Linked DNA regions of Oreochromis niloticus. The protein of the gene in region 1 purifies or fractionates together with the protein of each later gene. This does not show direct contact. Links are inferred from orthologs where the notes say so. Each region holds a gene or a part of one and is shown on either strand. Other genes may lie near its edges.

Evidence for each region.
Region 2: the proteins of pdhb (region 1) and pdhx purify together in Homo sapiens (affinity purification with mass spectrometry; 4 studies listed by BioGRID and IntAct, counting the BioPlex papers as one, with this or other methods). This does not show direct contact. The link is inferred for Oreochromis niloticus from reciprocal best matches to the Homo sapiens genes PDHB and PDHX.

What each region holds. Positions count from the first base shown.
Region 1 is NC_031970.2:12,962,103-12,969,911, reverse strand, and holds the start of pdhb (pyruvate dehydrogenase E1 component subunit beta, mitochondrial), read left to right. Parts: upstream 1-4,657; 5' UTR 4,658-4,739; coding exon 4,740-4,778; intron 4,779-4,862; coding exon 4,863-4,922; intron 4,923-5,868; coding exon 5,869-5,976; intron 5,977-6,072; coding exon 6,073-6,135; intron 6,136-6,236; coding exon 6,237-6,272; intron 6,273-6,746; coding exon 6,747-6,937; intron 6,938-7,021; coding exon 7,022-7,116; intron 7,117-7,809. Other genes in the region: pxk (PX domain-containing protein kinase-like protein), read left to right, coding at 1-33. UniProt on the Homo sapiens protein: The pyruvate dehydrogenase complex catalyzes the overall conversion of pyruvate to acetyl-CoA and CO(2), and thereby links the glycolytic pathway to the tricarboxylic cycle.
Region 2 is NC_031972.2:58,427,316-58,435,676, forward strand, and holds the start of pdhx (pyruvate dehydrogenase protein X component, mitochondrial), read left to right. Parts: upstream 1-4,981; 5' UTR 4,982-5,021; coding exon 5,022-5,157; intron 5,158-7,509; coding exon 7,510-7,593; intron 7,594-8,361.

The DNA.
Region 1 (7,809 bases):
GATACCATCGACCGCAGCAAACCCATCGTCTGACCACGTCCACAGACACAACGTGTCCTCAATATGGCAACATGACCGACACACCAGTTCTGCACTGTGGTGAAGGCCCTCCCCCAAGATGTGAAAAAAATCACTAACAAAAGATCTAAGTACAGTTTTTGTTTTTATTGCTGTTTCTGCATTTTTTCCCCCCTCCTGCTTTTAAACTTTTAATGCATTGCTGTGGTTGGAGAGACTCGAGGACAGGTGGGGTAAAATGGCGACCTCTGTTTGCCCTTCGAAACATGCTGGACAATCTTAGGCACCTTAAGGTTTTGTCTTTTCTGGTTACTTTGTCCTTAAGAGGCAGACACCGGATAAAAAGCGGGAAACTGAATCGGGTGAGCTTTTCTTCTGGCCGATCTGCGGACAGCCAGTTGACTTAATTTTTGTTCTTTGTGCTCGTAAAAGTAGCACTTAAAAATGTGTGAGAGGAAATTGTGGAGCAACCATGGATTCCTGACCCCTGCTCGATGGTGAAGTTGCATTTTGTGGATTTAGGACTCATTTCAGTACTTCGATGGTGTCAGAGTGCTGCACCAGTCCTGAGTATGGAGTAGACCAAACTTTCCTTCTTTTAAATTATCTCCGACTTTTTGACATGTAGCCTGCAGGCTCTGCTGAGCCAGTTTCCTCACAACTGAGCTGCAAAACACACCAACTGGTCGTCTCTGTCTTTAATTAACTCGCTGTCATGCCGTGTATTAAATTAAAACAAAATACCAATGCAGTGCAAGGTGTTCAAGAAAAAGTCATCTTCCTGGATTGAGAGTTTGAAAGCAGAAAAAACGTTTATTTGCATCTTATTGATCTGTAGATATTTTTTGGTTGAGTATCAAACATCACATTGAAATTACAGACAGAAATGACTGTTTGTTGCAGCACAAAACAGTGGAGGTTTAACCGACGCTCTGCTCATTGGTCTGTTTCTCTGCATTGCATTTCCCCCAGTTGTCTCCACAGTTCTTCAGACTGTACCCCTCTCTCTCACGAGCTCTATAAGCATGAAACAATCCCAGTTTAGATTGATTCTGAACATCTTTATCTCCTTTTTTTCCTTCTTTTGGACCAAACGGGCGCAATATTTTGCACGAGGCAGAGCACATAACGAAGAGCAGCTAAATGAATAGGAAGCTACAAACTACACTACTTGTGTTTTCATCCAGCTGTTTGTTTGTGCACATTTATTTGATGATGGCATGAGGGGGCAATGACAAGTTTGGGAGAAATAACCCCCCAGAAAAAAGAGGTGGGTCAAAGTATAATGGAGGGAGATGCGATGTACCGTGTTTAATAAATTTATTAGACCACCTGTTATTTAAAAAAAAAAACATTAGATCAGAGTTATATCATTATTTCTGAGGCAAACTGAATTCATCACTTTACAGCCAAATGTGAGCCGGCACTCTGGACAGAAATAAATCAATCAACATTCAACCACAAGATTTTCTGCTCAGAAATGCATGTAAATGACTCTAATTTGGCGTCTTAGTCAAAATATATCATGCTTTCATTTTTTCCTTGTAAAACAGTAAATTTAAAAATTCATGGATAACAAAAATAACTATATTTTAGCATTAGAAATATTTTGATTCAAAAGCTTGCACATTCTGCTACACAAATGAATAAAAGAACAAATTTGTTAATTACCAATACTGATTACTTATGCAGCTGTGGCATAAACCTTATGTTGAGAGGTGGACTAATAAATTTAGGCACTGTGCATGAAGCAAGTGTGGAGCACTGAAGAAATAAGGTTTTGATGGTGTGCGTCCTAGCTCCTTTTACTCACAGTTGATGAAAACAGTTTCCCAGAATTCTCCTTAGCTCTGCACTACAGTTGGATTAAAGGGAAATGAACAATAACATTAATTTTCTCACCTGGTATCCTCACAGTCTCTCATTCTAGTGCAGCATGAATTTAAAATCAGCCGCCTGCTGTTGAGGTTTATGGTAGATCATCACGTCTGTACTGCCCCGCATCAGAGCAACTTGGATGCATGGCAATGAGCAGCTCTGCTTCCGATTGTGCTCAGGGTCTGAAATTAATCTCGCATCACATTTTTCTCCTGACCTCAAGTAAATCCTCAATTTTTTTTTCCTGATTTTATTTTGGTCCATCAGTCTCTTCACATCACTGACCAGGGTCCAGATCATTTCTAATAATCCTTCCATCCACAAGTAAACTACAGATAATGCGTTGCCGTCAACATTACTCTGTACTTCTGGGAATAGTTAACCTAATGCCACAAACCATGTAAGGAAGTTTGATTGAACCAAGGCTTCAGATGATCTGTAACCGGTTTATTATTGTCCCGAGTGTATTTGGGAAGATTATTCTTGTTCATATAACTGTTTCTTTCCAAGCATGCAGTGCTGTGTAACATTAAACACAAATAACATTCAGCACTGAAATTTTGTGGATGAAGTGCAGCCCCAGAGAGCTCAGCTCGCCTTCAGGATTAACTTCAGACCCTGATTTCTGATTTTGATTCTTTTTAATGTTTGTTTTTTCCTCTGTTTTAATGTTTGTGTCCAGACTTTTGTTTGTTGTTATTGTGCCATACCCATTTGGGTGATAGTGCCTAAAGAAATCTGAATGTTTTTTGTTATTGTACATGAGCTCATCGTTTTGTTTGTGGTAGTATGCCAACGCTTCAGCATGTGGCTTAGAGTGGTTAGCAATTAACAATAGTCCACATGTCTGTAAAATTATCAGAGTAAAACTTTGTAAATCTGCAACAGAAAACACAACAGGTGAATAATTATAACTTTAAATTACATGCAACTTTTACAGCTGTCACCACAGGGCAGCCAGGACCCACTGTGTGCAACAGAAACTATGACCACCTGTGGTGATTTATTCCTCATCACCCAACTTGTGTGCTGAAGCGTTGGTGGCTGAATCTGGAGCTCAGGTGAATCCTGTAACCTAAAGACTCTTTAAAAACCAAGTTTTTAGCCCTTCGATGACAGCTCAGTGCTCAAATCATTTACTTTCATCATTCAGTGCAATCAGCCTAGCATGAATGCTCATTACGTTTAACCAGAATGTGTCTCTGCAGCACTTTAGAGGGGTGGAAGCCCGGTCCACGGGGATGTTTGTTAATAAAAAATAATCCAAGGCAGCAAATTCTCTCTAATCTCCTGAGGAGTGTATTAATGCAGCTGCAAGAGGACCCCCTCATCATCAGCAAACGTGAAATAGATTTGGCTGCTGTGATAAATAATACTTGTATCAAATGAATAAACATTTGGGGAAAAAAGCAGTTTCCTGTTTATTTTCACGTTTTCTTATAGTTGTGATGAACAGGGGAAGATGGAAAAGGCAGGATGTGACATCTTATATGGAAGCTTATCAAAAGTTAAAAGGTTTGCTCAGGGAGGGATATTTACAGGTAACTAAAAGATAAGTGATGAGGTTGCACAGGTGGAAGCATAAAGAGTAGTGGTGTAGACACAGCTGCCTGACAAAGAAGAGTTCCGTGAAGGCAGACGAAGGGTAGGTTTTATATCTTTGGGCTCTGCCCGCATCATGAAAAGTGGCGAGAGTGAGACAAGAAGAAAGAAGCCATGGCAACAGGCATTGACCAAAATGAGGCATCCATCCCTCTGTGACACTGACACAGCTACATCATCAACTGTTTTGTTACGAGGAGCTATGTTACAACTATTGACTCTATGGTCTCAGGTGTAACAGTGTTAATTGCATTTTTTTATATTTATGGTCACTTTTAATTTAATTCACAGCGGGACACAATGTTCAAGGTGAAATGAACTCAAGGTTGGATTATTTTAATGTTTGATTATTTTAACGTTGCTTAAAGCATCTTCCTCCTACCTTTATTTGTATGACCCAGGTGTGGCCACACCTCTTCTATACCTGAAGCTAAAAAGACTTGTGCAAAGCATACACCTTTGCATCTCTTAGATATAGTCTCCTGTCTCCACTCAGCATAGAAATTAGTACTGAGACTGATTTTGATGTCGGAGGACAGAAAACATCAAATAAACATGCACATATATATGACTTCTATTTGCTATTACGTGATGTGTACGTGACAAATAAAAGGTTCTTGAGTCTTGAATCTTAAAACAAGCACTAATTTGATAAATACCAGTAAAGTTAACCTTCAATACATAATCATATATGTCATACATAATCATACAATCATACATAATGTGTGTGTGTGTTATAAATGTTACAAGTGCAACTCATGTTTTCACTTATTTTCTATGATGATATGTGGTAAACTGACAGTACCATTAGAGCTTGATCAGAATGAGGATTGGAAACATATTTCTTAATGGATATGAAAAAGTTTGGAAATTAAACTTGCAGACTTACAAAAGTGCCATTGTCCATTGCCAACTAGAATGTGTGTAGCATATGAAATAATGTCAAAGTGCACAGATTAAATTAAAAAAAAATAATGAATGAAAAAGGAGTGAATCGCACTACTTATTTATTTATGCATCTATGTATGTTTTGCCTTCCACACATGACGCCTGCGCGGCTCCGTGTCCTTGGATATTTTTACGCCCATTTCCTACTCTCCCGCCTCCTTATTTGTTGACCGCTGTGATTGGCTGTTCGAAATGACACGTTCCAATCAACCTATGAGGTGCCATCTTGATTGGCTAAAATTCGCCAGCTTCCACTATCACGTCACTCTAGTTCGACAGAGGACAGGTTCAAGATGGCAGCGTCCCTGAGGTGCTTTCTCCGCTCCGGAAAGGTATAGATTAAATCGATGTTTTTAAAGCAGTGTTTGGTCTTTCTTGGAATGTAATGTTTGTGCTCTCGCTCTGTTCTCCTGCAGAATACCGTGTCAGCTCTGCAGCGGCGGGATTTTCACAGGAGCGCTCCGGCCGCAGTACAGGTCAGTGTTAGCAACTAGCAGGCTAGCTGTTTCTACAGCGAATGATATCGGTAAATATAGTTTTGATTGCACAGACAACAATAATAGGCTGAAGATTGGATGGGGGCTTGTTTTAATCAGCAGCTGCCTGTTTTAAATACGTGTGTTAAGGTTTAGGGGTCGTGCGGTTGTGCGGTCACTGAGCAGAGGGATGCGGGTTTACATCACATCAGCCCTCATCGCGCTGACAGCTGTCTCACATTAACGTAAATCACTGTCAGGAGTTTGAGGGGAAAACTATTAAAACAAAGCTTAAGCTCTGAAACAGTGCAGACAACAAAATGCACACTTTTTAAGCAGAACAGCAAGAAAAATCCTGGAATTTGGAGTATTTTAAACTCCAAAACGAGAAGTGCTGCTGGAATACACATGCAACATCTCGAAGTGTCTTTAAATATTGTAGCTGCATCTGGGGTTGCTCGTGTATTTTAAGCAATTCCTTAATATAATTGGCAGGAGGATAAAATTAATCAAGGCATTTTCACCGAAGTACAAACTGCATCTTTCGCTTGTCATTAAGAGACTGTAAATGGAAGATGGTTGTGATATTGTGACATCAGACTGTGCACTCTAGGGCGGAGTAATGGACAGGTTTAAGGTCAGAGCACTGGTTTTAAGTGGCCATTAAATTGGTGACAAAACTAAACAGATGTAAATAATTTCTACTTGTGTTGGATACAAGTAACTACCAAGAATGACTTTCAGCTTTTGAGTTCTGAACTAAAACCTTCAGTCTTCTGATAGCCACTTGAGACTAAAGTCTCCGGAAATTGTTTACAGCCCTATATGAAACAGGTTTTGGATGGAAACTTGCTATTGTTGCGTCCATAAGTTAAAAATTTAACTTCAGTATGTGGAAGCCAGTGTTTTCTGTGACGTGTACTGATTGTTTTGTTGCCAATGTTAGATGACAGTCCGTGATGCCCTGAACCAGGCAATGGATGAGGAGTTGGAGAGGGATGAGCGGGTGTTCCTGCTGGGTGAGGAAGTCGCCCAGTATGACGGTGCTTACAAGGTAAGTTTAAAGCTCAGATTGCGAGTGAAGTTCCTGGAGGCAGTTTGTGTTCTGTCCCAATGAGGGCAGTCAGACTAATGGTGGTTACTGGTGCAGGTGAGCAGAGGGCTGTGGAAGAAGTATGGAGACAAACGAATCATTGACACTCCAATCTCAGAGGTGAGCTCCAAACGACCTGCCCTACAGATGTTTTCCACAAATCTAAGTATCACCACTGGTGGTGTTGGACTCATTTTAGTAACGTTTTGTTTTTGGTGCAGATGGGGTTTACTGGCATTGCAGTAGGAGCTGCTATGGTAAGTCTGACCTGTTCCTGATGGGATGGGACTATATTAAACTGACTTTAGTTTGTAACATTTTTACTTGAGTCTGTCTAAAACATCATTCTAAACCCTGAATAATCTTGAGTCCATTACCTGAGATAATGGGCTTAAGTTTAAGAGCTTCATAATTACACTTGAATTCTAAGCAGTAATTCAGTTCTGTGCACACTTTGCTCTCTACAGACCTGAATTATGGCTCCATTGCCCACCAAATTAGCTTTACACCTCAAGACCAATGAAGCAGTACACAGGCAACTCCCAAGCCACTTTGACTTGTATAATAAAGCACTTTTCCTACCTTGAAGCCATAAATGCCAAAATAAGAGTTCCTTTAGACTAGAATTCTTCAAAGTACAGATTATGAAAGCTCTTCAGATTCAAACTACCCTATTATACTTGAAACTTGCAATCGACAAATTCCCTAACAAGATCAATGTCCTCTTGCAGGCTGGTCTGAGACCCATCTGTGAGTTCATGACCTTTAACTTCTCCATGCAAGCCATTGACCAGATCATCAATTCTGCAGCAAAGACCTATTACATGTCAGCTGGGCTACAGTCAGTTCCAATCGTTTTCAGAGGCCCTAATGGAGCGTCAGCAGGCGTCGCTGCACAGCATTCACAGTGCTTTGCTGCATGGTGGGTTCAAGACGTCACGTTACTGTTTGCAGTAACTAGCTGATGTTTGGCAGGTCTGACATCAGTGTGGTCATTTGTCTCCAGGTATGGTCACTGTCCAGGACTGAAGGTTGTAAGTCCATGGAACTCAGAAGATGCTAAAGGCCTCCTGAAATCAGCCATCAGAGATGAAAATCCTGGTGAGATGCCACACTGAAAAGCTTAAAACATGGATGTAACCCTGCATATCAATGTTCAGGCACTGCTAGCTCCAGTTGATTACATCAGTGTTTAATTAAATAAGCCAGCTTGTCCCTAATGTGTCTCAGCCAATAGTCAAACAGTAATTCAAGCATTGTTGGACTGCAACTGACTAGTTCTTGTTCTGGGGTCTGTTCTTCGTACCTCGCTAAGTAAGTAGCTGGATTTGATTGTTGACGATTTCGCGTGATCTTGGATCGTTCGGTTCTCCGAAGCTCATCCGGGACTTGCTGTCATAGCAACAGATTCGTAAGCGTAAACCTGCTTGGGAGTAGGCTTACTTTATGTAAACAGGATTAGATCGCGGCCACTCAGGTATGTACACTTCATTTATACGAAAGCAACAGCGATATTTCTCCACTGTTTTTTTCCATAAATAAATATTATCAATGTAACTAAAGATAATGCAGTATTTGATTCCTTTATTGATTTCATACAGATACATACAGGTCATTTCCTAAAAAAGGGAACTGTACTATTAATCATGCTATTTCATGTATTTGATTATTTCAGATGTAATTCATATTTTAGAGTAGTAATAGTAGATTACTTCGTGTAATCAAGATGAGAGACTGTTAAGAGATTTTTTTTTTTTTTTTTTTTTAAGCGGCGTGGTCTCCTGACAGAGACCA
Region 2 (8,361 bases), on another chromosome or scaffold:
AAAAATAATAAGGCCAAAGCACAGCACTGAAATACCAGAATACATAAACTGGTGATGAACTAGAAATATTTACAACGTAACAATATGGTTTGTACTATTTCATACTTTGCATCAATTGAACTGTCCAGAAAGTGTGTAAATGTTTGTTGATATTACAAATAAAGCTTGTAACTGTTTTTATTTTATGAAACTCTTTATTTTCCTGAATTCCGTGTGTACAATCTGAATGTAAATTAAGAAACTGAAATCCGTCCATCCATTTTTTTAACTGCTTATTCAATTCAGGGTGTCAGGGACTGGAGCCGGTCCCAGCTGTCATTAGGCGAGAGCAGATACTCTGGACAAGCACACTCGCATTCACACCTACGGCCAATTTAGAATCACCAGCTAACGAGCATGTCTTTGGACTGCGGTAGGGAAGCCAGAGTGAACCCGAGCAAGCACAGGGAGAACATTCAAATTCCAAATATAAAAGCCCCAGGACCTGAGACTGAATTCAAGAATTTTAGTTGTATGAATCAGCATTGGACATTTACATGTAAATCAGCATTTGGCTTCAGTCTAATATGCAAACTGCAGCTATTCTTGCCCAAACTTGAACAATATTGATGAGCTACAGAGTGCTGTTTAGATCCACAAGTGAAAGCCTTGTTTCCACTAAATCTGTTACAAGCTTGACTCTGAAAAGCCATGCACTTAAAGATAGTGCTGGTAGTTACTGCTTTATCATGACAGTGTGAAATGCCACACAGTTAATTGTTTGCCACTGTGTGCCGTAGCTGCCAAGCTGGTTCCTGCAGGCAGCAGACAAATGAGAGGGCCTTGATGGCCAGCAAGATAAAGGTAGTGCCAGTAAAAGACTGCCTTCTTTGGCTTGCATTTGCAAGCAAATCCATGGCTAATCTTAACTTTGATTAATCTGGCTTTTGCAAGCCTTCTTTACATATTGATGACTGACACCACGTTCAGTCGTTATCTTTTGCACTTTCGCACTGTGCTGCACTGCATTGTTTTCAGTTTAGTCACTATTCTGTCTTATGCGTATGCGTCATAAGGCAATAACTGCATGCTGTAGACTGAAAGACAATACATGTCCTGTTCTTAAAGTATAATTGTCAATAGCTTGTGATCAGAACTGATGGAATGTATGAAGGATAAACAGAACACTCCTTATTGGTGAAAAAACATATCTGAGTAGAGGCGTTTCAAGGATGGGTGAATGAATTGATGTAAAGTGGTACAAACAGAATCTTCCTGATTGGACTGAAATAATTGCTAGTGATTGTCGTATTGTTGTATTACATGAAGTAATGTAATTCAAAATGAAGTGTTTCTTCATCAAATCCCATTGTTTGTTTTTAGAGTTATTATCAAGAAATCACACTCTATAGTTTCTCTGGAGCTGCTTTTGTTATGATCCATACATACATTTGAAATGTATACAAAATCAAACGTAGTTGTATTTAAGGCTCGATGTATACAAAGTTACAGATTGTACATGACCCTTAAATAGTGAAAGGAAAATGGAAAATGTCAACTATAGTTAAAAAAAAAGTATCAAATCAAGTGTCAAAATCAGTTAACTGAATTTTTTTTTAAAGCAGCTTTGTGTCATAACATCCGTTGTGAACTTCCTAAAATTTACTTCTCACAAATAAGACACATAATTAATGAAGAAAGAAATGATAATGAAATTAATCTGTGCTGTTTATGTGACAAGAAAATTTCAAAATTGACTAACAAAACTAATGCTCTGGATACTCATGGCGAAAGATGCAACTGTCAAGCAAACACCAAGGCAGATATTGAATTGTGTATTATGTAACCATTACTGCATTTGCCCGTGATACCATACCAGTAAGTGGTTTAAGGCAAATTAAGGCTCATTGCACATGAACGCTGATATACTGTATTACAAAGAGATGAATTGGGAAATTAATGAATGTAATGACCAGAAGCACAGGAATACATCAACAGCTCACATTTAGCCTTAGTTTGACTTTGTAATAATATTAAGCACATTATATCACTGCTGTGAGCTGTGATAAGACAAGACTTTGATGTGAGTCACTGAAGATGATTGAGCAGTTATGCAAATGTTAGACTCACGTAACCTCTGCAGACAAGAGCATGATTTTCCTAACAGACCACTGCCCAGTGATCACAAATCGTAGCTTTACATACTTCTGATACTGTGACACGAATAGTGCTGTATGTGACCGAATGGCTCCCAGAAGCAAGCTGCACGTATGACAAGACACCATATCTGACAAATTCAAGAGAGCACCGTTAAACCAGCGTGACATGTATTTACAGGACTTGGTTCTAAGTCATCGAGTGCTGGTAACGAAAGCATTCATGCAAACATGCGCCCAAACCGGTTGTAACAGATCTGGGAAGGAAGAAAAAAACACATTTGCACCTGAGGAGATATTTAATCCATGTGCCTCACTTTAGCACTTTGAATTCTTGTGTGAGTTTTTTGTTTGTTTTTTTGTTTTTTTTTACAGACATGCTATTATAATAAGAACAGTCCAGACAATTGTCTAGGAAGATGACAACAAAATCTACATGGGGTGGAATTATCTAGTGGTCTCCTTGTTCTGATTTATTAGACAATGGCTGCCTTTGTTTGGCCAAAAAGCATATGCAATACCTCCCCACAAGTACCTTTATCTCTTATAGTTACAAAATGATTTTCTGATTTGAATAAACCAAGCAAAGGGTATTTTATTATTTAAAAGGGAGAGCATTAATTCAATCAGATAGATTCAAGAGGAAGAACAGGGAAGTGATAAAAGATAGCCTAAGCATGGGCATGAAGACAGCAAGATGTGATTTTATGTCTGCATCCCATGCCAATAAGTGGGGCTATTGTGTTCTCTCAGTGGATACACTGGCTCAGCTTATCTGGGCCCCTTATCATTTTTGTCTCATACTCAAATGGACCTGTGAGGCGTCCAACCCAACACTGTGAGTTGGAAAGATTAGTGCTGTGTCACTGATGCAGCTTTGCTTTTTGGGGGTAGGGGCAGGTCTATCTAACAGTTTATTACCCATTACAAAATGACACACTAGATCATAGTCTTATGATAAGGAAGGAAAGTAGCATTTAAACTACTTGTGAAGAAGGAAGAGTGAAGAAATTAAGTATTTTGGTTTTTCTTCTGCATTTGCATTAAACAAAAACTAATTCTGAAATGACCTTTGTTCATATTTTTTGCTGTAACCAAAAACATGAGGAAGTATTCATGAAAATGCACAAATTATTTGTTTCCAGTATGTAACGAAGCCAATATCCTTTGTAGATTTTGGAGTTCCCATTAATGTTTATTTCCTTGTCTGCATTTGGCCATTAATTGAAGCTGTAATTTCCTTGTGTCAACCAAAAAAAAAATAGGTAGAATTTCAGTGTCAAGTCTACATTTTTTTGCAAAAAACATGAAGGTTAAACGCATTAGTATTATATTTGAAATGTGTGATAATGTTTTTTGGCGTGAAATAAAACACAAAGTTCATTATTTCTGCTGTTATTTAAAATAGTTAAATAACTGTTTTATTGAGTAAAGTCACAAGATTTCCTAAACCCAAACACAATGCTCATTTTTCTTGGTTTGACTGAATTTCCCTTATCCTCAGTGAAAACAAAGTTCAAAAATAATTTGAACATCAAAATATTAAAAGCATATAAACCAGCTCTACCACTGTTGCAAAACCAAAGCAGCTAAATAAAACCATCCACCATTACCTCTGTTATTTATATTTCTTGTTAAAATCTCATGAAAATAAAGACTGCAGGATCAAATGTTCACACTGGTATGTTTTTTTCCCAGAATAGTCATGATACTGTCTTGGACACAGTTCGCTACCAGCAGCACAACTGAGATTGATGACAGATGACGATAAAGTTCAGGATAGATATGACATTTACTCATTTTCTGGGCTTGTTTTGTTTTCAGACAGGTAGCATTTTACTAAAAATCTATTGTTGTCAAAAAGTTGCAAAGTAATAAACTCTGGTGTCTTCATACATTTTTCTATTCAGTCAAAACTGTGTGAGAAATAAATAAATATACTAAATAGATCAATCCTAGGCTATATAATATTTGTGCAACAGTTTTTTGTTTGTTTGTTTTTTATGTAATTTGCCTGTTGAGCCAAAAAAGATCTTGCCTGACAGCAAGATCTTTCCTGGTTCCAAAAGTGCTGCATGCATGTTCTCACTGTGTCTATGTGGGTTATCTCTTCCTCCCACAATCCAAAGACATGCATGTTAGGCTGTGATACACTGAGCTCTCCAGCGTGTACCCCACCTTTTTCCCTTTGACAGCTGGGATAGGCCCCAGTCCCCCTTCAACCCTGAATGAATAAGCAGAATAAAAATGGATAAAGAAACATTTTGAATTAAATGTCGTTGGTAATATGTGTGCAATTTACAATGCATTTATTACAAACATTTTTGTCTAAAAGTCTCTGAGTTACAGAGAGAAATACTAAACCAACGACACACTCTTCCATAATGAAAACACTTGTTTTATAGATGAATTAATAAATAGTTTTGTTGTGGTAACGGGAATGAATTTGTTCTTCTCACAGCCTGGCTCTGCGTACATATCTTTCCTCTTCGATGTAGTACTAACAACAACAACAGTTTCAGCATGAGCATCGACCCTTTTCATCCTTTAACAAATTACCTTCACAGCAGAGGGCAGTAGTTCACTGAGTCTATTTAAAAGCGACAAAACTACATTGTAAAAGCACTTGAAGGACCAATATAGGTAGGACTCTTGTTGCCTGCTCGTTAATGTCAACACGAGCTTATAATACATTTATCACCGGGGTAATTTTTTTCATTGGTCCAGTGTTTGTGTTTGAACATTTTTCTGTGCTTCATGTTTTTCTTTTAAAAATACAGATTTTATGGTAGAAAACGGCTCTGTCTTTCTTCACCCCACCCCCCTCCTTGTTTTTTTGTCGTCAGGCATCTGTATGGACACGTCTCGGCGACGGAGGACGATAACATGGCGGCCTCCTTGCGTTTGGGTCGTCAGGGAATGTTATTTGGCCTCAGACTGAATAATTTTAATAAATGTTTAAGGTCGACACACCAATGGCAAGACCAAGTCAGACACTTCTTTCGGTCGCCATGGGTACTCGGTAAGTGTTGACAGTTTACCAGGTAAATGGCTGTTGCCCTTTCTGTGCTGACAATCGCTGGCATTTGCAATCGTCACTACCCTTTAATGGTGCAACGTTACTTTGCTCTCGTTTTGTCATGGCATGACAGATAGCAGCAGTGTTGGTAAATGAGAGGGTTGGCATGAGTGTTAAACGAAAAGTGTGATGGTTATTTTTTGCAGTTAACTGTATGGAAATCTGCTAATACCGCTTTCTAAATCACTTGGATTATCTTGCATCCCTCCAACCAGTCCTATTTCTCTCCCTGTAAGCCAACTTCCCTCATCAAAGCTGTGTCACGTTTGTAGCAGTACCATTAAATCTTAAAAAAAGAATATTAGCTCCAAAAAGTTCTAACAGTGAAGCGGCAAGGAGGAGAAAGAGTGAAGGTAGATGAATTTAAATACGTAAGGTCAAACATCCAAAACAATAAACAGTGCAAAAGAGAGGTGAAGATAGTGTAGACAGGGTGCAGATGAGTGTCAGATGTGATTTGTGATAGTAGAATGAGTGAAAGGGAAGGTTTACATGATGGCAGCCAGACCTGCTGTGATCTAAGGTCTGGAGACAGTGACACTGACTAAAAGACAGGAGACAGAGTTGGAGATGCTAAGATTTCCATTGGGAGTGAAAAGAATGGACAAAATTAACACTGAGTATATCAGAGGGAGAGCTCAAATTGAACGTTTTGACAAAGTTAGAGGCGAGGCTGAGATGGTTTGGATATATTCAGAGAAAAGATAATGGATATGCTGGGCAAAAGGTATTGAATGTGGAGCTGCTTGGCAGGAGGAAAAGAGGAAAGACCACAGAGGATGTAGTGGAGAAGATACAGACGGTTGGTGTGACAAAATCGGACGTTGGGGATAGGGTGCTATGGAGGCTGATCTGTTGCCATGACTCTTAAAGGGTTCCAAATGTGGTATATCAGAACTTTATTTAAAGGCAGCTTATTGCGAAACCTTAAACTAGCTCTTTCATGATGATGTTGTTTTAGGGCACTGGCACTTCACTATTTGCAGATTTGAAGAGATGCACTGAAGCTGTTCTGGTGGAACTTGTTGTGCCCATGATATGCCCATGATTCCCACGCTTAATTACATTTTTGTTTTCCCATTGTGACATGTAAACATGTCAGTGATGAAAATAAAATATTCAGTCCCAAATTCACTGTGAGCATATGGATTTCATATGGAAAGTTACACAGATGTCATTCTTTGACAGTGAATCTCATCCAGAAATAAATCTTTAAGCATGAAGAAGATAAAATATAAACAGACAGATTTTCTGTTTTTGAGTACTGAAGCAACACGTATGACATATAAATACACAACTCTTTACACATTGAAGTTTTGCACCACTGCCAAACATACAGCAGGTGGCAGCAGCTCACAGTTTGGCTCAAGACCACGCAACATGAAACAAAGGCCATGTAACACCCTCAATAAAAACTAACATACCAAAAATTTGAATCATCGAATCCCCAAATAATTTCATTTTTTATTTTACATTACATGTATATGACTTTAATCAGTTTAAGTTGACTAACTCGACTGCCTGAGTTTTATTATGTAAGATTAATTTAAAGTGTGGAGTCAAATGGAAAGGTTTTTTTTTTTTTTAACTTTTAGTTTTTGGTTTTCTTTTACCTGTTTGGGTTAATCTTGTATTCTGCTAACAGAAGCTTTTTTAAAAAAAATATATGCATAAAAAATATCATGCATAAAAAAATTCTATTATAAATGACTGTAATATGTGTGTAGTTCAGTGAACATAAAGAATGTGTAAAATAAAGGGCTATGCATTTTAAGTTGTACGGTGTTTGAGCTCTAAACCTTATTTTTGTTGCTTTCAGCTTTACTACCATATGTAGTAAAGCCGTGATCTTGGATGTATGTTTTCTTCTGGCAGCCTGAAGCTCTAGTGTGAACTGTGGCCTTCTGTGTGACTACAGATGGTGACAGTTGGGGACCACAATGATACAAATGCCTCTGCAGCTTCTGGTGCGGTGTCATCCAGGAGCACAGTTGTATAAGTGACATGGCAGCATTTTCATGGTACTGCTGTCTCTTGTGCTCTGCTGCAAGTTGAACATACTGACCCCCAAGGGCTTTGTTCGAGCTATTCAGTGTTACTTCTGAGCTTGTTACTTGATGCATTTTGACATTCACATATTTTAGATGAAATTGCAAAACCTTACTGGAAGGGCTAATTTTTTTTCTCTTCTGAAAGAAGGGGGGTGGGTGGGGAGGTGTTTTAAATTTAAACTAATGAAACCCTTGACATTATGTGTCGTCGTAAATCATATGTTATTTTCTTTCTCTCCTCTAGGTGTCAGTCCACTCAAAGTGCAGATGCCCGCACTCTCTCCTACCATGGAGCAGGGAAACATAGTCAAATGGCTGAAGAAGGAAGGTAAAGAAAGCACATGTTGACAAAAGACTTTATTAGAAAATTTAACAGACACTCATCACACATTTGTACTGAGCTTCTTTGACAGATTTTAAACCTCTGTGCGTTTTAATGTGTTATCCAAAGGGACAGATGCTTCACTTTTCTTGTACTTGTAATATCCTCCCCTGTAGTGCTTTTGTAAATTGAATGCTCAGTTGGTTTCCAAATATATTCAGTTCTTAAAGTAAGAGAGGGAGGCCTGAGAAATGGGTCACCTGAGGGCCTCTGGTGGCTAATTGGCTCAAGGACCATGGCAGTCATTATCAGTCACTGTTTAGCAACTCTGCATAGCCAGGATCCTTAGCCACACACTCATTTATCAAGAGGCCAGATGCTGAATTCTGATTGGCTTCTCTGCTGTGTTGCTATGTGCTGTGACTTGACGTTAGATGTGAGTTTGTTTGTGTGTGAGTGAGTAAGAAAGGTGGAAAAAAACAGATGAATTATTTAAGAAAAATATATCTACAATACTACAGCTGCTTGAACTCATATTTGAACAGGATCTATCTGAAAGGGTCAAATGAATCCTTTATCATTTTTTTCAGCAAAACATTGAAACAATAGTGAAAAGGTTCATTTTAGGAGAATTTATTTTTACAGGTATTCTTGAGTGAGCCATAGCATTAAAACCATGTCTAATATATTTATTACAGTAGTGTGCAGAAATCACACTGATGTAGACGTCTCCAAAAACGTATTCTCAGACTTTACATAGTTAGGTGCAACAAA